Linked DNA regions of Oryzias latipes. The protein of the gene in region 1 interacts with the protein of each later gene in a pairwise test. Links are inferred from orthologs where the notes say so. Each region holds a gene or a part of one and is shown in the gene's direction. Other genes may lie near its edges. The genes, in order: sf3b4, ppp1r16b, mettl17, nck2 and cwf19l2.

What was found.
Region 2: the proteins of sf3b4 (region 1) and ppp1r16b interact in binary tests that used the Homo sapiens proteins (3 or more experiments, as listed by UniProt). The two-hybrid records come from large-scale screens. The link is inferred for Oryzias latipes from reciprocal best matches to the Homo sapiens genes SF3B4 and PPP1R16B.
Region 3: the proteins of sf3b4 (region 1) and mettl17 interact in binary tests that used the Homo sapiens proteins (3 or more experiments, as listed by UniProt). The link is inferred for Oryzias latipes from reciprocal best matches to the Homo sapiens genes SF3B4 and METTL17.
Region 4: the proteins of sf3b4 (region 1) and nck2 interact in binary tests that used the Homo sapiens proteins (3 or more experiments, as listed by UniProt). The two-hybrid records come from large-scale screens. The link is inferred for Oryzias latipes from reciprocal best matches to the Homo sapiens genes SF3B4 and NCK2.
Region 5: the proteins of sf3b4 (region 1) and cwf19l2 interact in binary tests that used the Homo sapiens proteins (3 or more experiments, as listed by UniProt). The two-hybrid records come from large-scale screens. The link is inferred for Oryzias latipes from reciprocal best matches to the Homo sapiens genes SF3B4 and CWF19L2.

The regions. Positions count from the first base shown.
Region 1 is NC_019869.2:7,215,862-7,220,201, forward strand, and holds the start of sf3b4 (splicing factor 3B subunit 4), read left to right. Parts: upstream 1-1,514; 5' UTR 1,515-1,574; coding exon 1,575-1,608; intron 1,609-2,199; coding exon 2,200-2,328; intron 2,329-2,413; coding exon 2,414-2,965; intron 2,966-3,444; coding exon 3,445-3,603; intron 3,604-3,793; coding exon 3,794-3,949; intron 3,950-4,340. UniProt on the Homo sapiens protein: Component of the 17S U2 SnRNP complex of the spliceosome, a large ribonucleoprotein complex that removes introns from transcribed pre-mRNAs.
Region 2 is NC_019863.2:11,193,087-11,196,962, reverse strand, and holds part of ppp1r16b (protein phosphatase 1 regulatory inhibitor subunit 16B), read left to right. Parts: intron 1-2,183; coding exon 2,184-2,308; intron 2,309-3,876. UniProt on the Homo sapiens protein: Regulator of protein phosphatase 1 (PP1) that acts as a positive regulator of pulmonary endothelial cell (EC) barrier function. Involved in the regulation of the PI3K/AKT signaling pathway, angiogenesis and endothelial cell proliferation.
Region 3 is NC_019875.2:3,349,265-3,353,929, reverse strand, and holds the start of mettl17 (methyltransferase-like protein 17, mitochondrial), read left to right. Parts: upstream 1-1,729; 5' UTR 1,730-1,853; coding exon 1,854-1,922; intron 1,923-3,031; coding exon 3,032-3,173; intron 3,174-3,276; coding exon 3,277-3,426; intron 3,427-4,175; coding exon 4,176-4,263; intron 4,264-4,434; coding exon 4,435-4,516; intron 4,517-4,608; coding exon 4,609-4,665. Other genes in the region: parp2 (poly [ADP-ribose] polymerase 2), read right to left, coding at 811-1,020, 1,246-1,318. UniProt on the Homo sapiens protein: Mitochondrial ribosome (mitoribosome) assembly factor. Binds at the interface of the head and body domains of the mitochondrial small ribosomal subunit (mt-SSU), occluding the mRNA channel and preventing compaction of the head domain towards the body.
Region 4 is NC_019879.2:10,329,443-10,333,318, forward strand, and holds part of nck2 (cytoplasmic protein NCK2), read left to right. Parts: intron 1-2,782; coding exon 2,783-3,558; intron 3,559-3,876. UniProt on the Homo sapiens protein: Adapter protein which associates with tyrosine-phosphorylated growth factor receptors or their cellular substrates. Maintains low levels of EIF2S1 phosphorylation by promoting its dephosphorylation by PP1.
Region 5 is NC_019871.2:20,782,394-20,787,010, forward strand, and holds the start of cwf19l2 (CWF19-like protein 2), read left to right. Parts: upstream 1-1,542; 5' UTR 1,543-1,581; coding exon 1,582-1,674; intron 1,675-2,520; coding exon 2,521-2,631; intron 2,632-3,647; coding exon 3,648-3,773; intron 3,774-4,617. Other genes in the region: alkbh8 (alkylated DNA repair protein alkB homolog 8), read left to right, coding at 1-383.

The DNA.
Region 1 (4,340 bases):
CATGGTCCTGGACAACCTAAAAACAGCCGTACAGTTTTAACCGTACAGGTGAACGCAGGACTAAGGCTTTACTGATGCCTGCAGCAGCTGCTCAGGTTTAACAAGAATTAGATGGTAATCTGTCATCATGTTCCTTTTGTCTATTGTAGACTTCATTGTATGTGGTGAGAACACCAGCAGCCGAATGTATGCTCTGTGTCACCGACAGAAGGACCTACAATGCTGCTCTGGTATGGATTGTGTTTGAAATGTAGATGGATCAGGATTCAGTGTTGGTTAGAGGTACAATAAGAAGGTTAGAAAAAGGAGTTTGGAAAGTTTCTGAGCTGCTTTTCCTTTTTTGGTTTGAGATACCACAACTTTACATTGAGAAAATAAAATACAACCTCATAACACTTGTTGAAAAGTAAAAATCTTTATAGTTAGGCACCCTATAAACATGAAGGCAGTTGATCCGGTGGTCTTTTGAAGACGCTTGTGAATGCAGTTTATTGGACTGTCTCTACTTAAAAGATCAGTCTGGATTTAGGCAAATTAAACAGCAGGAGGGCTGGCATTTGTGCAGCACAATAAAAGTTTAGGAATTGGCAACATAAAATAACAGAAAATTATCCAAAAGACTGAGATTAAAGTCTACCATTTGGAATTGTGTTATGTTGATACAACTTTAAGAAAATAGGTAGTATTTGATTGTAAAACCTTTCAAAAACATCTTAATTAAAACTTTTTGGCCTTTACACTTCTTACATAATGGATCTGTAATTTGCTCAGTTACTTGAAACATTTGAAAGATTTCTAATGAGACTTAAAAGGAATGAACAGTTTGACTGAAATAAAAATTTGTTTTTTTCTGCTAAGTCTGTGACTCAAGTTGGATTAGTCAAAAGACTTTTTTCCTTTTTCTTTTCGTTTGATTATTATTATTATTATTTTTAGAAACAATGATTGCAATATCATAAGAGCCATCAAAAAATGATCTGAACATCTTTTTTATTAAGCTTTTGGAGACTTTGACCTATGTGTGTCCTTTTTGTTTCTTACTTTTCTAAATGAGCAGCCATTTTTAGCTCTTAATGTTCATTTTTTTTTAATGTAAAAGTCTCAGCTCTGTACACAAATGCATTTCACTTATGTTATTATTGATCAAGGCTTTTTTAACCCATTTTTATATATGCATTTATAAAATGAAAACATTGGCTTTTTGTGTTTTGAACTTTGTTGCATGACATGCTTTTTTATTTTATTTTGATACAGTATTGTTTTATAAAAATGGTTTTATTATGCCCAAATTGTATTTTGTATGAACAATTTGTATTCCATGTTTATACTTTTAGTAGATTTATATAAAAATGTATATAAATATGTAATAAATTGGTCCGTACAAAGTTTTGAACTTTATCTGGTCTTGTGTTTTTATTGTTCGATGCTATTAAAAAAATAATCTAAAACGAAGCAAAGATATTGTATTTTATTTTTTGAAAGAGGAGTTCATTTTATATTATAACTTCCGGTTTGCTGAACAGGAAGAGGCGGAGCTTCCTACATGAACGCTTCTGGTGCGTTGGTCATTCAACATGGCCGCGGGACCAATTTCTGAAAGAAACCAAGGTAATTTACGGAATTATTACCCATTTCTTTTGACATTTAGCCGTGCATAAATGTATGTAATGTGTAGTAACACCCAACAAGGGCACATTTTTCCTCATAGAGCGAATATGGATCCTAAAATTAGCTAATATTCTTCTGTTGAAACCGGGTAAACACATGGAGTGAAGCGGCTTTAGCCTAGCTTGTAGCTAATAAAGCCATTCTCCCAATTAATCGTTTATCGAATTTGCACTTTAGATGCACGTCCTTTTATATAAGCATTAAGCTGTGAAAAAACGTATACTCATTTCCATTGTTGCAAATCTATAAATAGAAAGAGAAAAAGCAATATTTTATGCCAGGAACTAATACTAAACAACTGCAACTTCTTTCATAATTTAACTTCAGTTCATTGACCTCATTTTATTCTTACCAGGCAGCATGATCATTAAATTTTTCACAGTTTCAACAATGGTTTTAAAAAGAACTAATGAAACTTTAAGTGAACATAAATATGGTCATTTCTTTTTGTAATTCGTATTCATTAACTTGTGTCAGAAAGTGGAAACCTTTGTAGTGTTTTACTCACCAAGCCTGCTCTTGTCTGTCCAGATGCCACGGTGTATGTCGGTGGGTTGGATGAGAAAGTGTCGGAGCCGTTGCTATGGGAACTCTTCCTGCAGGCTGGTCCTGTGGTAAACACGCACATGCCCAAAGACAGGGTCACGGGTCAACATCAGGGTGAGTGCACTTTCAGTTGGTCAACAAGATTGAACAATTATCTTCTTAGAAAATTATCTTTACAAAATTGTTTTTCTTTATTTAGGTTATGGCTTTGTGGAATTCCTCAGCGAAGAGGATGCTGATTATGCTATTAAAATAATGAATATGATCAAGCTCTATGGAAAACCCATTCGAGTCAATAAGGCCTCGGCACACAACAAAAACCTGGATGTGGGTGCGAACATCTTCATCGGTAACCTGGACCCAGAAATCGATGAGAAACTGCTCTACGACACATTCAGTGCCTTCGGTGTGATTCTCCAAACACCAAAGATCATGAGAGACCCAGACACCGGCAACTCCAAGGGTTACGCTTTTATCAACTTTGCCAGTTTTGATGCTTCTGATGCCGCCATCGAGGCCATGAATGGCCAGTACCTCTGTAACCGGCCCATCACTGTGTCGTACGCCTTCAAGAAAGATTCTAAAGGGGAGCGCCACGGCTCCGCCGCAGAGCGACTCCTGGCGGCGCAGAATCCGCTGTCCCAGGCGGACAGGCCCCACCAGCTGTTCGCTGATGCCCCACCACCTCCCTCTCTTCCCACCCCGGTCCTGACCACACTAGGAGCTGGAATGGGTATTCCGGGCATGGGAGGTGGGTGTTACGTCACATTTATGTGAAAATAGTTTTGTTTTTTTAAAGACTCGCTTTTATGAACATTGTCTTTTTGATGTATTTTTGTGGCATTTTTCTGATGATAGAGACAAAGAAAATGTAGCTCAAACTTGCATTTGACTGCAAACTGCAAAAATTAAAAACTGGATTTAAATCTGAAGCAGACAAAAAAAAAGGATTTTTCTGTAGTTTTACATAACTACTGCCATTCCGCAGAAACTATGTTCTAGAAAACAACACAGGATCTTTTGATTTTGGCTAAAAATGGCATCATCACCATCATCATTTTCATAAAAGACCGCTTTGAAAAAAGATCAAAGGATGATCAGTGTGGGACTTGTGTTTTGTGTTAGCCTAAACAAGTGTTTTTACAGATACAAATTAGCAATTAGCTGCAAAAATACAAACAAATGTACCCACAAGTCCTTCAAGTAGATTGTGTTGATTTGTGTGTGCAGGTCTGCCACCTCCTGGTGCCTTTCCCCCTGTTCCTCCCCCCGGATCACTCCCTCCTTCCATGGCCCATGGCATGGGGATGCCTCCATCAGCAGGTGGCCCACAGGGTATTGGCGGTCCAGGTGGACCACCACCCTTCCCGCCTGGAAGTATGCATCCAGGTGAGACATTGTGACTTCTTAAGAGTGGTTTTTGTCTTTCTGTCGGAGGAAATACAGAGGTTTTGAGCCTCAGAGCCGCGTTTACTTTGTTTGGCATCCGCATAAACATCTGAAAGTCAAAGCCTGTTCTCGTTTTAGTATCTAGTTTTTCTTCCCGCCACCTCCAGTTTGATCCGTTTCTGTCACTCAGGTATGCCTCAGATGCCCATGCACCCTCCCGCTCCGCCTGGCATGGTTCCACCTCCTCCTGCTCCACCAGGATCATCCCAACGCGCCCCGCCCCCCAACCTCCCCCCACCCCCGCCTATGGGCATGCCGCCCAGAGCACCATATGGACCCCCCATGGGTGAGTGTTATGACGCCTCTTCATGTCTCTGTCAAATAGAAAAAACACCTGAAAGGAAAAACGGCGTTGAAGGAAGTGTCAGAGTTGGCAGGATTTGGCAGAGACGCTCTGAAAGTGATGTAATGGGGGTTTGGTAAGGAACCAGGTCCGCCAATCATCTCAGTCACTGACTTACATTTATGAAATCACCTGTGCTTGTAGCATCCTAATATTTGAGTTGTTGATAAAGTAAAACTTCAAACAAATACCTACCTTTTCAAACTAAACTTGCTAATGAATTATTGTCAGCTGAATTAAGGATATCCTGATCAGATTCAGAGTCGTTTGGTTTTTAGTTTTGATTTGATCATTTTAGACTTAAACAGAGCACTTCAGTGAATAAGTTTGAACA
Region 2 (3,876 bases), on another chromosome or scaffold:
AAAGTGTTTGGTAAATGGCAATTGATTGATTATAGTCGCAAGATGATAGATGACTGCGGTTAAAAACATGCATTCAGTAAACAGAAGCATGTCTACTATTTTTATTTTTCCCTTTTCTTCCGAAGGAGAAAGTTTTGGATGTTTTAAAGCAACATATCTGAAAAATTAACTAAGCTGACTCAATGCAAACATTAAAAAAATTAGATTCTAGCTGTTGATTGAAAATGTTTCAACCAACCAGAGAGGCAGGATCCACTTTAAAAAGAAATGATGCTCCTGAACCCTCACTGTATTGTAGAAAATAGACTCAAGGATGCGGCGAAGAGAAAAACCAGAGCTCCCTATCTAAAATCTAAAACTCTGAAAAATGGAAAGAAAATACAAACTCAAATACAATTCATTTAATAATTCATACTTCTAAGAATTTAAACCCAAACAGTAATATTCATGGTATGTAGCTCACTTTAGTGTAGCAGTAAAATGCCATATATGCAGGTATCCTTTTTTTTGTTTTTACTAAACTATCTTTGGCTGAATACAAGCTTAGAGAGGGGCAGAGACTATCCGTTTTGCTAAATTAAATCCTAAAAATTGGCGACAGCAGAGTATTGAATCATTATTTTGCTTTTAAAGAATTTCTTGCCTTTTGTCCTCTGTGGGGACACAAGCTTGTTGAGTTATGTTCCACACTCTTTTTACATTAAACCAATACAAGGTCATGCTTTCAGGAGAAAATTAGCTGTAACTTTAGACTTAATTAGCCATTATGGATACTGGACTTGTTTGTTGCTACTTAAGAACAGTGTAACCTTGACAACAATGTGGTAAACATTTAAGTTTGAAAGTTTGATAGCCTGGAGAAGCTGCTTCATTTTTTTTGCATATTAGACTGCACACGTTGTGAGGAATGTTACTGTTTGGGTTGCATCATGTTGTTTTGGACAGTGCAGTGTCTTACTGCTGCGCTGCACAGATGGATTTCCCAGAGAAGCTTCCCGCTCACAGCACAGAAGCTTCCTAAAAGCAGGAAGGCAGATTAGTCGTGCTGTTCGATTGCACTTGTTTATGCGAGTGACTTAAAAAACCAAAACAGCTTTGATTCATGTTATTAAAGCCCAAATAGAAATGTTGCACAGAACTTAATTTAATGGTTTATTTCAAGAAATCAAAGCAAGAATGATGCACAAAACAATACAATCAGCAGTTATACATTCATACAAAGACGCATCAAACTTAGGATAATTAGACATTAAATCAAAGATTGCTTGAAAGGGAGTGAAAGGAAGTGAACTTCTATAATCCCTCCCCTGTTCTACTGGACCATTTTTATTACATGATTTATCATCAACTTTTTATCAGAAAGAATTAAGAATCCTTAAGTATCAATAAATCACATGACAAAGATGAAGTGCTTCATCATTTTATAAAAATAGACGACACTATTTTAGAAATCAACATAGCACATGCAGATCAATTCTCTAAAATAGGTGCAGATTATTTCTCATTAGAAAAATCATGAATGAATTTTTTGGGCAAGTGAAGTGATGTATGTGAAGATCAATCACTTAACCATCTTCATCTTAAAATGCTGAAACAATAACATTTAAATATAATGTTTCTCTGAATAGGTACTCATAAACCTTCCAAATTTTTGGAACAAAAAAAGTAAATTCTTTTATGTCCTTGTAAATTTATACTAATGCTGTAAATTCTTTATTTTTGTTGTATGTTCAGTACTTATTGCACTTCTTTTTGTTTCTTACCTCTAAACAGTTTTTGCACCCTATTTACAATCATGTCCTTTTTCTTAGTTACTAATTTTTCTTCTGTTTGTTTTATTAATGTTTTTTCCTTTATTGTTTTTTTTTGTTGTAAACTCAAATAGCTCTGTCATGACTTTGTTCCACCCTGCTCTGGTTCTTTGCTGTTTATGCAAAAATGCTAACCGAATTCACCTTAGCATATAAATAAAGTAAATCTGACCTTAGTCAGTTTTACTAAGCAGTTTGTTCCTGTTGGAACCAGTAAACCTCTGTCAGACATCCCATTCGTCACTTCAGTGAATCCTTTACCCGGTTTCAGAAGGCTCTGTAGGAATTTCATATTAAACAATTTATGTTCTATCAAAGATTTATTAAAAGCCCTGCTCTGGCTTATATAGTGTGATTCTCTGTGCATGACAGGCATCACCCAGGAGATGATCAATGAGACACGAGCAGCAACGGAGAGGAGGATGCTGGGGGACATTCAGGAGCTGCTCAGGCAGGGAGAGGAAGTCAACAAGAAGGATGCTCAGGGGGCCACACTGGTAAGCAATCCAACCCTGAAACGTCTCATTTCATTTTTGAGTCCTGCTGGCTAAAAGTAGGAGGCAGGTTTTCAGATAGAATAGTTCTTATGACTCTGCTTAGCCGCTTGACCATCTGAATGTATTGCAGGATGAAGAATGTTGTTTTAGCATTCTAATTTTGTGACTTGTTTTATGTTTGGTTCTTTTGCTCTTTAAATTGTGGCTTTTATTATTAGGATGAAGTTCTGTTACTTTGTTTAAAACAAAGCTTCCTCCATTTATTTGTAGTCCTCACCATTTTACAGCCTAATGCAATTTTAACGTCATTGTCTTTAACTAAAATCGGATTTTAACCAAATTTTATTTTAAATAAATCTTTGAAAGCCAACAACTATATATATCTACTTTAATAGTTTAAGAACGGTTGCTCTCTATCCCAAAGAAGAGAGCAGTGGATTTAATGATTCGCCAAAGAGAGCACCTAAAAAGACCAAAACAGACTTTGAAGGGACACTAATATTTTTATACAGAATAGGATTTCTCATATCCTTTACCCCGTGTGCTATCCTATGACCCCACCCTTACATTGACGTGTTCTTCCTACCATGACAAAGGTGGATAAAGGTGGAAAGATTTCATGTAATCCATGGACACCAGTGAAGATCACAAATCATTGAAGAAAAAAAGGTTCAGAGCACTGTCTAGTGGGTCTAGATGACCCAACTCCCAATGTTAAAGTGTCTAGGATAGCACAAGGGTTACAAGTTATTTAGTAATATCGTTCCATTAGGATGTTTATTGTACAAAATTCCAGACCACCAGGGCATTCACAGGAATGATTTTGAATAGAGTCTTAGAGTTGAAAGTGGCTGTACAGTTGTGTGTGTAAACAGGAAGTAGAGCACTGGGCTGGGAACACTACCACAACAGATATCGGAGTTGAGGAAGATGAAGGTGGGCTCTGTTGGTGAGAAAAGTCTCTTTGGTTTGGTTTTATGAGATAAAAAGATGACTTAAAGTCCTCTGACAACATTATATCAGGTATTATTCTGGGATGTCAGTGCACAGAACAGTTAAAAAGGATTTAAAGCAAAAACTATGACCTCTTTGTTATTCTGAGCAGTGTGTGTTGCATCACAGAACTTAATGAGGTCTGTTTTGTGTATCTGGGATTTGACTACAATATAAAGCCACTGCCAGATCACTGGCTGTAAACAGTGTCCTAAAATAACCCCTTAAGCTTTAAATTCGTATCCCAGATTGTTTGTCTCCGAGTCTTCTCTAACTGATTTGTGCTTTCTGTTAATCTTCATTTAAGCATAGAGAAACAAACTGGAGTGTGGCTTATTAGAATATCTTCTTTAGGAGAGAAGGGAGTGGAGCTGCTGAGACATTATGCAATATTTATCATCTGTTTTTGAGTTCATTACTTTGTTTCTTTGTTCCTACTTTGGTTTGAAGGACTGGAAAATGTCATGTTTCCTCTGCAGTTTGTCTGGTTTTCTTCTACACACATAAATAAGGTTTTCTTTCAGTCTAATTAATAATAATAAGGGGGAAAAAACAAGGTTTTAAATGCTGATATC
Region 3 (4,665 bases), on another chromosome or scaffold:
CCAAATGCATATTTTCACCTTTTAATTCACGTATTTATAAATGTTACATTTACTAACAAAATATTTAGTTTGCAAGCTAAATATTTCATTTAAGTTAAGTATTTTTTCTTTACAAACTAAATAGTTAATCTACCAAAGGACTAAAGGACTACCAAAATAAAAGCTGGATTTGCTCTGTCTCTGAACTGATTCTCGCCAGACTTGTAGTCCATCATGTCCTTGAGCTTGACTGATTCAAGACATGCAGGAGAAAATGCAGGAAGCGACAGAAAATAAAAAGTTACGAAAATAAGAAATTCCCACCAATCAGTTCAGAGAAACCTGTTTTTTTTCTCCTGAAACAGGCTAAATAACCAAAAATATTGCTGTCAATATTTGACTGTAGCTTTACAAACTACACCCCATTCATCCATGCTTTTATTTTACTTAGTTCTGGATTTCCCACATTACGGAGTTCCTTATGATTGTCTGTAAACTAACATGTATTTGTATCTTCAGCAAATAATATTGGTTTTAAAAGTTTTGAAACATTAAATATATAATTTATGTAAATATCGAATAGCAGAGGGCCCATAATTGATCCTTGTGGGACACCACAACTAATTTCCTTTGTCTCAGATGTAAATTAGTTGATTTTGACTATTTGCTAACTTTACTGAACTCGTTTCTTTAAGAGTCGTTTTGAATTCTGCCTAAAACTTAGTTTGTTTAAGACAGAAGAAAAAAGAAAGACAACTTTTGTTTCTGACTGAATCTCTCACATACAAAACCTTGGATGATGGAGGTGTGTTTTCTACCTTTAAAACATACCTGGTTTCACAGTCTGACTGCGAATTTTCCTTCGGTACTTTGTGACAGGATTGATCTGGACCATGTTCTTCAGATCCACCTCGTATGCGGTGCCGGAACCCGCGTTCAGAGTGACGGCCGGTGTTCCCGCAGACAGAGCCGAATCCAGCAGGGCACACGCCGCCGGCGGGTATGACTCCCACCGGCCTCCGTCCCCCTGCCACTGCCATTCTAGCATCAACACAGAATACCTGTTCACGCAGGTGCCGCTTGTTTCACACGCGCAGACATCCAAGTCTGACGCCTTTTTCTCACACACATAAGTCTCAATAAGGCACTGTATGGTTTTTGAACCGTAACAAAGCATTTTAAACAGCGTAAAACACGAAGACTAGAGTCTAGTCTAGACATGTTCAGTTTATCTGAACAACTAACTTGTTTCACATCAACACAAACCTGTTATTGACTCCATGTCTTCGTTTTTTGGCAAACTTTGGTTTTTATTCATTGAACCCCTAGTTCGCCTCATGTTGTAAACTAGATAGAAAACAGAAGAACAGAATGGAACAATGATGAGACTGTGGAGCAGGGCGGGAAACTTTTTTCGAGCGATGTTTCCTAGTCGGACATGTGTTAAGGATGTCCCGCGGCCAAAGATCGTTTAGGCATACAGAAGCTAACTCGTTTATCAAAATGAGAATTAAATAGTGACATCGTTCTAATCTAAACCATAACAACATAACAAAACACACGAAAAATCATTTTATATTATTAAAAATATATTTAGTATGCTATCTGTATTTTATTAAAACCTTTTAAATTTGTGGAAATTAAGTAAAAGCTATTAAAAGAAACATTCTGCTCTTTCCAGTTGCGTAGGACCACCAAAGATGACAAGAGTGAGCCCTCCTCTTTATCTCACGAAGGAACCAAAGATGACAGACAACAAGTTCCACTTCAGCTAAAACCGGAATTATTTTGCTGAAGGACTGCAAACTCCCAGCGTGGTTTTTGGGGGAGTACATTATAATCCGAATCTGGATTTTATTGTTTTTTGTTCAGACATGGCATGGCGAACATACGGAGCATTTGTTTTTGGTCAGAAAACACCAAGAATAAAGAAAATGTTGAGGGTTCGTAAATCGATTTATCATTACGCAGCTAATTGTGGAGGTCATACTATTTACTATGAGACATAGTATATGTATATAACGATACCTGATCTGTGTGCTTAGATGTTTGAAGCCTAACAGCTATATCTTTACCAATGTGCTTTTTTCCCAATACTTTTTTGATTTCTAAGCGTATTTGTACGCTTTAAAAAAATCCTGTTTGTGTAAATCAATCTCACAGCTTTCTCTTTGAGCTGGAATAAGAGGCTCCTGCAGTAACTTAGCTGTTGCTAGCACAGCGCTTTTCTGGACTGAGAGGTCTGAGGTCTTTCCAGGTATCTGTTGTAGCCACTCCTCCAGCTTGGGGGTTACTGCCCCGAGTGCTCCAATTACCACAGGCACCACTGTCACCTTCACTTTCCAGGCTTTCTCCAGTTCTTCTGAGTCCCTGGTATTTCTCCAGTTTCTCATGTTCCTTCTTCCTGATGTTTCCATCGCTTGGCACTGCCACATCCACCACAACGGCTTTCCTCTGTTCTTTATCCACCACTACAATGTCTGGTTGGTTCGCCATTGCCTCTGTGGTTTGGTGCTCAGGATTTCTCCCTGAGCTGCCAGGATGAGTGCTTCAGTGCTGTCCTGTAGGCCAGCCCTTTCTAGCCATTGGTAGGACTTCTTGATATCAGCCACTTCAGTTATGGTCCGGTGGTACATCCCATGCAGGAGTTTGTCCTCCCATGAGGATCTGTCCTCCAGCACTGTATCCTCTGCTCTCCATTGCCTGAGACATTCACTGAGAACAATGTCAGTTGTGGCCTTGAGCTTGATTTACTCATGGATCTTGGATGTTTCATCCTGGATAGTGGCTCACTAGTCCTATATATATATATATATCTTTGTATTTGTCAGTGAAAGAAACCGAATTGGAAATTGTATTAAAGTTCTGTCTTCTTGATTTGGTTGAAGTGACTAGAATTGTGAAATTAGGTTTTCCTAACCAAACAAAATGTGATTTTAGAAAGGGAACTATAACAAATGGATATTAATAAAATCACATTGAGTTCAATCAGAATCGGTTCTGATCTTGTGATCAAAAAAACTTAGATTTTTCTGGGATCTTCTTGCCTCAGAACTTGGGTTCTGCGGTTCGTCCACAGCCTCAGGAGGATTTTCTGAAAGGAGAACTTCATCGAAAGCACCCAGGGTTGACCAACCTGAAGACTCAGCGTCTTCCTGAAACCCTCCAGATGGCTGCACTGTCAGTGATTCACAGTAAGTTTTGTTATTGTGCATTAACTGTACAAGAAACACAGCCCGATTATTAAAAACAAAACGATAAGAGTAGTTTGATGCTCATGTGTGCTCCACCCTCCAGGAGCTCAGATCGCTCAGCTTCCTGGTCGCTCCCAGAAACTCACAAACTTCCTTTGGAGCCGGAAGCGAGCAGTTGAGGATTTGACAGTGAGGCAGAAAGCTTTGAGCCTGGAGAAGGACCTCTGGGAGAAAGCCATGCAGAGGACAGAAGGTCAGTACGGTGGCCCTGAAGGGCCAATCATTCAACACATCACTCGACACAAAAACATTTTAAAGATCCCAACGACGATGATAAAAAACAACGTTTATGGGATGAAGCAGCATTACATGTTAAAAAAACAAAGCACAATTCCAGAAACCAAAACATAAAAAACATTACAGAAAACAATGAATTTCATCAAAAACAAATTTTAAAAAATCAAAAACTTTTTTGTAAACAAAATTAATTTCAAGAAAACAAAATGAAATGTTAATAAATGAAAGAAGAAAAAACACATAGAAATGCCAAAAACTGAAACACTGAAAAACCGTAAAAAGGTAAATACTGAGAAACATCGCTGATTGGATGATGATGATGTCAGTATCGCCTCAAGACAAATAACTCACAGTTCAATTGATGGACAACCTTCATCGTCCACTCAGCCATGTCCCTCAGTACCTACCTTCTGATGTTTCTCATTGTGTTTCACTTTTCAAACATTTCATTTTGTTTTCCAAATTGTTTATTTTTCTTCTTGGTCTCTGCAGTTTTGTTTTCTAAAATGTAGTGCTGCTTTTTAAAATTTGTTTTGTCTTTTTAATTGTCGTGATCTTTAAAATGTTTCTGCGTCCAGCGGTTCGTAGATGTGATTTGCCCTTCCAGGGCCACCGTAGGTCAGGGAGGGATCCAGTCATAGCTGATGCCTGAAAACAGTCACAAGAGCTCACCTTACAGGGAAAAACCTCTACTTTGTGTTCCAGATTTTGATGAGAAAGCACTGGAAGACAAGATCAGGAGGAGGGTTTTTTCAGAACTCAGGAAAAAGATTTACCACTGGACTCCTCTGAAGTAATGCCCCCTTTCTGACCCATCGCTGTTTAGTGGAGAAAAGTGATGGCAGACATTTAAAAACACACGATGGACATCGTGTTCTTAAACTACTAGATTGTCATTCTTTCTTTAGCTGATCTTACAGTTACAGTCAAAGAAGCTTGAATTGGATCACTTTTGGTGTTTCAGGTACGATGAAGAGATGGGCGTGGTTTACATGGCGAGCCGGCTTGCTGGAGGCTATGCAGCGGTCAGGAGAGTTCTGAATGAGGTCAGAAGTGACGGGAGGAGCAGCAGGAGCACGCCATCTTTGTTTTCTCTGTGTCTTCTCCAACTGATTTTGCCTCAAACCTACCAATTCAGATAAAGAAGAGGGATCCTTCATTTAGTCCTCAGACGCTTCTGGACTTTGGTTCTGGA
Region 4 (3,876 bases), on another chromosome or scaffold:
AATCCCTTGTCTCCCCACAGAGCTTCCTGCCACTCAAAACTAAATCTAATCATGGCCGTCTGTCAAAACTAAGTCCTTCTTTCAGCAGGTTCTTCTTTCAGTTGAAAGCCTGATCTGCAATAGCTGATTGATTAAAACACTTCCAAACTATCACTTCAGTAGGTGGCACCAAGCTTGCTGAGTGTTCCAAAAGCACGATGGCGTGTTTTATGAGGACAAACAAGTTAAACAATGCCACACCTTGTGCAGTTCACATGAGGAAATGCAGGAAATGCTTCATGTGTTTGGCTAATCATTGGAAAGGTTATGCAGTAGCAATAGAAACTCTTTAGGATTGAGTTTCTATGTTTCTATTTGAGTCTGCAGGCTTCATCTGCACTGAGTTTATTCAGTTTGTCATCATTGGACGTTTAGGAGCACGTGTCAAGGTATATAACACAAGGATTCTTCCTTGATCCTGGAAAAAGTTTTTTTTCTTTAGTTTTTAATACTTTTTTTTTATAAAAAATTGAAAATTTAGAAAAACTGACTGTTAGAGAAAATGCTTAGGGAAAAAATTGTAAATATTTGCAGCTTAGTCAGAAATGAGGTTAACTGTAGTTATGAGACTTGGCACATTTGTTTGATTTTCACACTGCTTCTTCTTGGCGCATAAGCTTTAATTCAATTACCTATAGATATTCATCTCTCATGTCCACAGGTTTAGCTGTTAAATGTTATTTTAGAAGCCATTTGCACCACTCTACACGATGAAATTGTGAAATGTTCTTTTTCTGATCATCTTTTGAACTATTGGAAAAGTGTTCCCTTTTAATTAGGATTATGTCGTTTTTGGCCAAAATAAAAAACACTGTGGTTTTTCTACATCATTGTTTCTGCTGAGCGGCAGGTTTTTTCCCCCACAGAAATTCTCTGTTGAGGTATGGGTGGAACAGTTGCTGTGGACTAGGGCTGCACGATATGAGGAAAACTCGCGATATGCGATATTGGTGATTAATATTGCGATAACGATATAATTTGCGGTATATAAACAAATATCAAACAAACCAAAAGCATCATTTCCATTTCAATGCAACAGTATAAAAATTATACTCCAAATGACCCTCGTCGACATAGGAGGCAAACATCAAACATAAAAGGGCTCATCTGATTGATCAACAGCGTAAACGGGTCCTTCCGATTGGTTAAATGCATAAAGGGATTTATTTCATTTATTCAATATTTCAAGCTGCCATGAGTTTGTTTTAGCACATTTAACCCTTGTGCTATCTTAGATGACCCCCCCCCCCCCCTTCTTACATTGATGTGTTCTCCCTACCATGACAAAGGTGGATAAAGGTGGAAAGATTTCATGTAATCCATGGACACCAGTGAGGATCACAAATCATTGAAGAAAAAAGGTTCAGAGCACTGTCTAGTGGGTCTATATGACCCAACTCCCAATGTTAAAGTGCCTAGGATAGCACAAGGGTCAAGGTAACCATTTATTGCGATTTTTGCCATCTTTTGCGGTATGCATATTGCAAAGCTTGATGTCGCGATAACGATAAATTTGTGGTATATTGTGCAGGCCTACTGTGGACCGTAATCAACCCTCCTGCTCCCTGTTGCTGATTCACAACGATTACATAAAGAAATACTCAGAAATGCAATGTTGAGCTTAATTTTATATACTGGTCTGTCCTCCATCATCAGAAAAATGCCACAAGAACATATTCAAAACACCATTTTCATCAGAGTGGGCCTAAAGATTCAATGTTAAAGAAAGAAACCACCTTCATACTGTTTGTCAAACAGCCAACAGAATCGCCTTTCTAAGCAAATAAACTCTTTTGTTTGTTTCTTTAAATAAAGTTTGTTTGGCAGGTGTGGACCAAAAACAAGGGCCTGGCTTCAGTTGCAAGTGAACCTCGATACGATTAAATACAGTGCAGACAGACTATTCAGTAAAAGTGTACAAAGTAGCATAAGGTACAAATGTTTTTAAAAGGTTTATATGTAGTGTGTGGTGTGATGACAAGGGGAATACGTTGATCTTTGTGGGACAGTGAGGGACATCCCGGCTTTTCCGTAGTCTGGGTCAGCCTTCTCCTCATGCCCAGGATTCCTCCGACTTCAACATTTCCACTTAGTCTGTCCCAGATTTGCTTGCTTTTTATCTTGAACTGCTTTTGCACCTTTTTTATTCAAAGTAAAGCATGTGTGGGTTGGTGAGAGACCATCCTAAAGGTCCTGCTGCAAAAAACCTCCCTGAACAACCGATTCTTCAGAAATCTGGAGAGCAATGTGTAGGAACAAAGGAAAGAAAGAAATTGTGCACAGAATCAGGCGGATAGAAGTAGCTCTGCAGCTTCTGTCTTTGAGGGGATTTCACGTGTATTGTGATTCATGCTATGCATACTGAGTTTTAAAAAATCCATTCATTGATATTAATTTCTACGGAGAAAATGAACTCCGATTCATCAAATCACGAACCAGTTTTCCTTTTAAAATGGTTTGGGTTATTTTGAATGGAAGAATCTGTAAATTTTCAGCTGAGAAAACAGATTTTCAACATGAAATGAAGTTGGTTTAAAATGAAATTTAGACAAAAATCACGAGAGCAACAAACAAACTGCATCCCTAAAGTTAAAAGAAAACACTCCTAGACTTCTGTGAAGTCTTTCTCCTGAAGTTTAAATAAAAAAACAACTAAACATAGATGTTAAATTGAATGTTTGATGTTTCTAAACTCTCAAAAGTTTTCAGTGTCAGCTCTCTCGTTTGATTTGCTTATCTGCAGGTTTGGGAAAGACGAAGAGGAAGACGAGCGCTCGGGATGCCTCCCCGACGCCCAGCTCGGACACAGAGTTCCCCTCCAATGGCAGCGGAGGCGGTGGGGGGGTCGGAGGCGGCGCAGCAGAGAGGATCTACGATCTGAATATTCCCGCTGTGGTGAAGTTCGGCTACACGGCCGAGCGCGACGACGAGCTGACGCTGGTTAAAGGCTCCAGGGTCATCGTGATGGAGAAGTGCAGTGACGGGTGGTGGCGGGGAACTCAGGCCGGCCGAGTCGGCTGGTTCCCATCAAACTACGTCCAGGAGGAGGTGGGAGGGCCGGAGGACGGAGGCAGTGGAGATTCCCCGCGGGGCTTCCACGGGGGTTCTGCAGGGACTTTGTTAGCTAACGGGCGGGCGGGGGGCCGCGGCGGAGTTCTTCACAGGGTCCAGACTCTGTATCCCTTTACCTCAGTGACAGAGGAGGAGCTGAACTTTGAGAAGGGGGAGATCATGGACGTGGTGGACAAGCCGGAGAACGATCCCGAGTGGTGGAGTTGCAGGAACGAACGCGGCATTGTGGGACTGGTACCTAAAAACTATGTGATTGTGCTGGACGAGCAGCCCGGCACGCCGTTTCCTCTCTCCAGCCCCAAGCAGAACCGCCTGGCGCCGCCGCGCTCAGGGAGGTTCGCTGACAGGGACTGGTACTACGGAAACATCACCAGACACCAGGCCGAGCACTTCCTCAACGAGAGGGGAGAGGAGGGCGACTTCCTCATACGAGACAGCGAATCCTCGGTAAGTTCAGAAAATCCTCCTGAGATAAAGGAGTCGCAGTTTTGTTTTAGACGCTTCCAACAGCCTCTGAGTTTTGCTGGAATCATAATTGAGGTAAACTTTAGGAAGTGAAGATTTCTAATAGACAGTGATGAAAGTCTTCCGGGAATTCCCGGAAATCCGGGTTTTTGAGCAAACCGAACGTACTTTCCGGGAAATAAAGACCTGATCTCTACGGACAAATCGCTTTCCGGATTAAAAAATGGTCTGAAATCAGCTAATTTTAGCTTTATTTTCTATATTTCTCCGCAGATAGCTTCCTCTATGGTCGTGGCCATC
Region 5 (4,617 bases), on another chromosome or scaffold:
TTAGTAGAGTTCCTGATGCTCGCCTCAGTGTGCACACCAACCGCACAGCCTTTACTTCCCAGGATCTTTTGGTTCCCTGGCATCTTAAGGGAGGGAAATCGCAGCTAGAGGAAAACCCTGACTTAAGCTCCAGCCCCGACTCAAGCCTGGGGTCGGACTCAAACTCCTCCCAGCGTGCAGATGCTAAGCTGAGTCCAGCATTCCCTCAGGCTTCAGCTTCTGCTTTGAAACTGGAGAGTAGCACAGTTCCAGTTTTTCATCGCTATTACCATGTTTTCCAGCAGGGGGAGCTGGAGCATCTGTGTGCTCAGGTGTCTGGAGTCAAAGTGAAGAGCAGTTACCATGACCAGGGCAACTGGTGTGTTGTGTTGCAGAAGGAATGAATGCAGAAAGATATGTCTGTGCGAATAAAAACTTGGCAGAACAAAAAACAGAACAGTGAGACAAAATGAAAAGATGTTCTTGTTGAGATTTTAAGAGAAATTAATAAATGTAGATTTTTGAGAAACTGTCTTTTACAGGGCTTTGATATTTGTGACTCTTTTGTTCGTTTTTGCTTGTTGGTATTTCATATTTTAAAAATCATTTTATTTTTCTTTTATCTTTAAAAATTCAAGTCAAGTCAAGTTTATTTATAATGCGCTTTAAAAAAAAACCCAGCAGAGGCTGACTAAAACACTTAACAATGAAAGATTAAAAAAAAACAACAATCTAAAATAAACAACATAATAAAAAAGTAAGAAACATCAATAAAATCACCAACTCATACTGAGCTAAAAGACAGAGGGAAAAAGGGAGTTTTCAACTTGGATTTAAAATCATTCAATAAATGAAAAAGAAACACATCTAAGTGATTTTTGGTCTCCTTTTAAGTTCAGTTTGTGCTTTGAAATTATCAGGGACTTTAAATTGAGAGCAGCCAGCACAGATTTTTTGTTTTATTTCCAACATTAAGGCAAATCAATCAAACTTTATTTTTTCAAAGCAAGTTTGTTTCGCACATTTTATGTACAAAGGTAGTTCAAAGTGCCTTACATAAAACATTAAAGGAAACATTTACTGGAGATATTAATGGGGTGATTATTAAAATAAAAATTAAAGAAAGTTAAAAAGAACGGAAATTAAAATAAGCTTAGAGTAACGGTGCTGATGTAAACTTTTGAAGTTAAATTAATTAAATGCTGTTGAGAACAGGTGGGCCTTTAACATGGGTTTAAAAAAACTGAGTGTTTTAGCAGATCTAAGGCTTTCCTGAAGTCTGTTCCAGAAGATCTGTGGAGCATAGAAGCTGAATGCAGCTTCTCCGTTTTGGTTTGGACTCCAGGAACTGACAACGGTGACAACAGATGATGGGAGAGGTCTGCATTGGACACTGAAGCCGCTAATTTGCACATGTAATGCTTGAAAACTATAGAACAAAATAATGATAGTGGGCCTTATATTTATCATAATCATCTTATTTAGCTCTTTGGAAAATTAGGCATTAAGGGTTAGGGTTAATGGAACTACAAGAACCACAAAACAACTGTCGTAAACAGCGATGTTTTACGACAGTTGGCTAGACCCGTGTACGACGTAGTTATGGCGGCGTACGGAGTCAGTTTTGAGAGTTCCAGCAACATCGAAGAAGCGAAAGAAAAGAAACGACAGGCGCGACAAGAGGCGATACAAAAGGTACGAACTAGGACTCTTTAGAACGCAGATGTGAAGTATTTCCGCGCCGCCGTTTGTTTTTGTTTACATTGATTGACCTGCTAACCGACATGCTAAGGATGGTACCATCAACGATCAAGTCAACCGGGACTATGTGACGTTTTGAGAAGGTTTGCTGTCGTGATGAAGTTTTAAGCAAGCGCTTGTCGGGACATTTTTCAGATTATTCCTGTTTGGACCATTGCTGCATGCTCCCTGAACGCTTGCAGGGAAATATGACACAAACACTGAAAGTGGTGAAAGTCAGTGACCGATATAGCACAGCAGACGGCGGCAGCCTGTCTTTTTCGTGTTTACATTTTGTCCAGATTGTAGTTATTCACTGTCCACAGATAGAAAACAAGAACATCTTAATAGCTGTATTCAAACATGAACATAGCTATTTACGCAGCACTTACAGCTGTTCCCTTTAAATGCACATAAATGTGTTGTAGACTCTTATCTGTTCTGCGCAAGCGCCAGGAAACTGACAACAACCGAGTGGAGCCCAGAACTGAGGAAAACTCAATCTATACATTTATCTTCAACCGATATACAGCAAAACATATTTAGCCAAATCTCTTTACTTTCTGTGCTGTTTTTATAATCTGAATATAATATATAATCGTAATCAATTTTCCAGCTCACATTTATACTTATAATCCCAAAATAGTATGTGAAGTCTAGATTTTGTTCAAATCTTTGTTTAGTGTTACCATTTATTTCTAGACACTTCAGCATAATTTAACATAATGTGTGAGTACATTTCTGTAAAACCACAAATACTGGTATGCTGTAGATATTATAATAAATGTTATTTTTTTTAAGGCTAAGCAACAATATGAGAAGGAGGAGAGGAGAAAGGAGCTGAAGAGGCAGAGAGGAGAGGACACCTGGATACTTCCTGAAGTCAACCAGAGACTGGAGCAGTTAGGAGACGTAAGTTGTATCTGTTTCACTTCAGAAAGACATTTAATAAGCAGCACAATGACAGAAATACATCATTTAAAGACCCACTCCAATGAGTATAGTATTTATGTTGTTTTTAACATGTTTTTGTTGCATTTTTCTCATGTTGAATAAAATATATCAAGAAAATTGAGATTAAAAATGCATTTCTGAGTATTTCTGTATTCATATTGTTGTGAATCAGGAGCAGACAGTCTGAGCTGAAATCTGTCTTAAAACTGGACGACTGCTCGCCAGTTTTGTTGCACCGGTAATGTTAGATTGGGGTTGTGAGGGGCTGTGAGCTAGCTGGAGGGAGTGTAAACAAAGGGTTCATGGGTAATGAGCGCACTTCAACAGTCCAACCCACAACTCCGAGGTGAATTTCTAATGAACTCCTGCCACCCTGCAGAAACTGTCCTAGAAAACAACACAGATTTTATAAATTTTTGCCTAAAAGAGCATAATTATTATTAAAATACCACTGGGAATGCTTTGAAAATGGATCAAAAGATGACTGCAGTTGGACGTGAATCATGTTTAATCATTTTCTAGAGCTATAGGTTGTTAAAGAAACATGCCAATGGTGGCACATTTCTTAAGAAAGTATTTATGCCTTATTTTTATATTTACCTAATCTAATTTTCATCTTTTTTTCCTTACATGCTGCTTTGAGTTTGCCATTGTCGGAGAAATAAAGTTTTATTTATCATTTTAGAATTTAAAACCACCTGCTTCACAGCAAACCAGTTTTCATCTTTTTTAAACCATGAAAACTTATTTGTTTTTTTATGTCAACATATTGGGTAGTTGTTTTTTTTTTTCCTGTACTCAAGCTAAACGTTTGCTGGTAAATCTTCATGTTTGCAGAAGTGGCTTCAAAATTTGCTTATGCAGAATTTTGGCAGCTTCACTCTTTTCCTGCTAATTGTATTTATTTCAATTCAAATATATTTTTTAAACAAACTGAGGTTCCATTTAAAGAACTAAATTCAAACATTTACCAGGATGGATCTTTGAAGAGCAAAAAGAAGAAAAAGGAGAAGAAATCCAAGAAGAAAAAAGAGAAGAAGAAGGACAAGAAAGAGAAAAGGAAAACGGAAGCAGGAGATGCTTCAAGTGTGGATTCAGAGGTAGACCGTCTTCCATGCATTACTCTGAGATACAAACACACAAATGATCTGTCAACAAGTTTTTCTGAGTGGTTTCTTAACAAAGATGTTTTAATAATTTCTATAACTGAAAAAATATTTTTGGGTTGAGTTCAGGTGAAGAATTTAGTTACGATTTAACACTAGAACGCCCAGGATTCTTCACTCCCCCTGCAGCGTCCAGAGCACAGCCAAATGGCTGGGTGACTCGAAATGACTCAAGGCCCGTACACACCGGGACGAATATTCGCCAGGCGTTATTCGCCAGCGTTTTTCGCCACGTTTTTTGTGTTCACACCCAGGCGATTTTCGCTGACGGTGAGCCGAGCGAACATGCAATTTCATTCCCTGACATTAGATGGCGCTTAATGTAAACAGAAATACTCCTGTACACAAGGTGGCGCTGCGCACCTTTACGCTTCTTAAAGTCGCTTTTCACTCAGAAGAAGTGAGCAAGTATTTACGCGCTTGTCAGAATCATACAAAGAAAACATGAATATTTCAAGCATCAGTAGCTCCAACTGGTACTTGGTTCGGGGATATTTAAGAATGTCCGTCATTATTTCTTCACAGCAGTGTAGACGCTACTTGGCGTCTATCTTCTTCGCTGGTATGTGTGCTCAGCAAGGCAGTTTTGTGTTTGAGCGCCCCCAAGTTGTGTTTTACTGTAACTTCAGAAGCTCCAGACACGTGTGCAAAAGCGGCATTCTCATTGGTCGAATAGATTTCGACACGACGCGTCGAAAAAAAAAACGAACCCGAGGCGTTTTTTTTTTTTGACGCTTTGGCGCGTGGCGTTTTTTCGCGTCGGTGTGCACACTCTCAT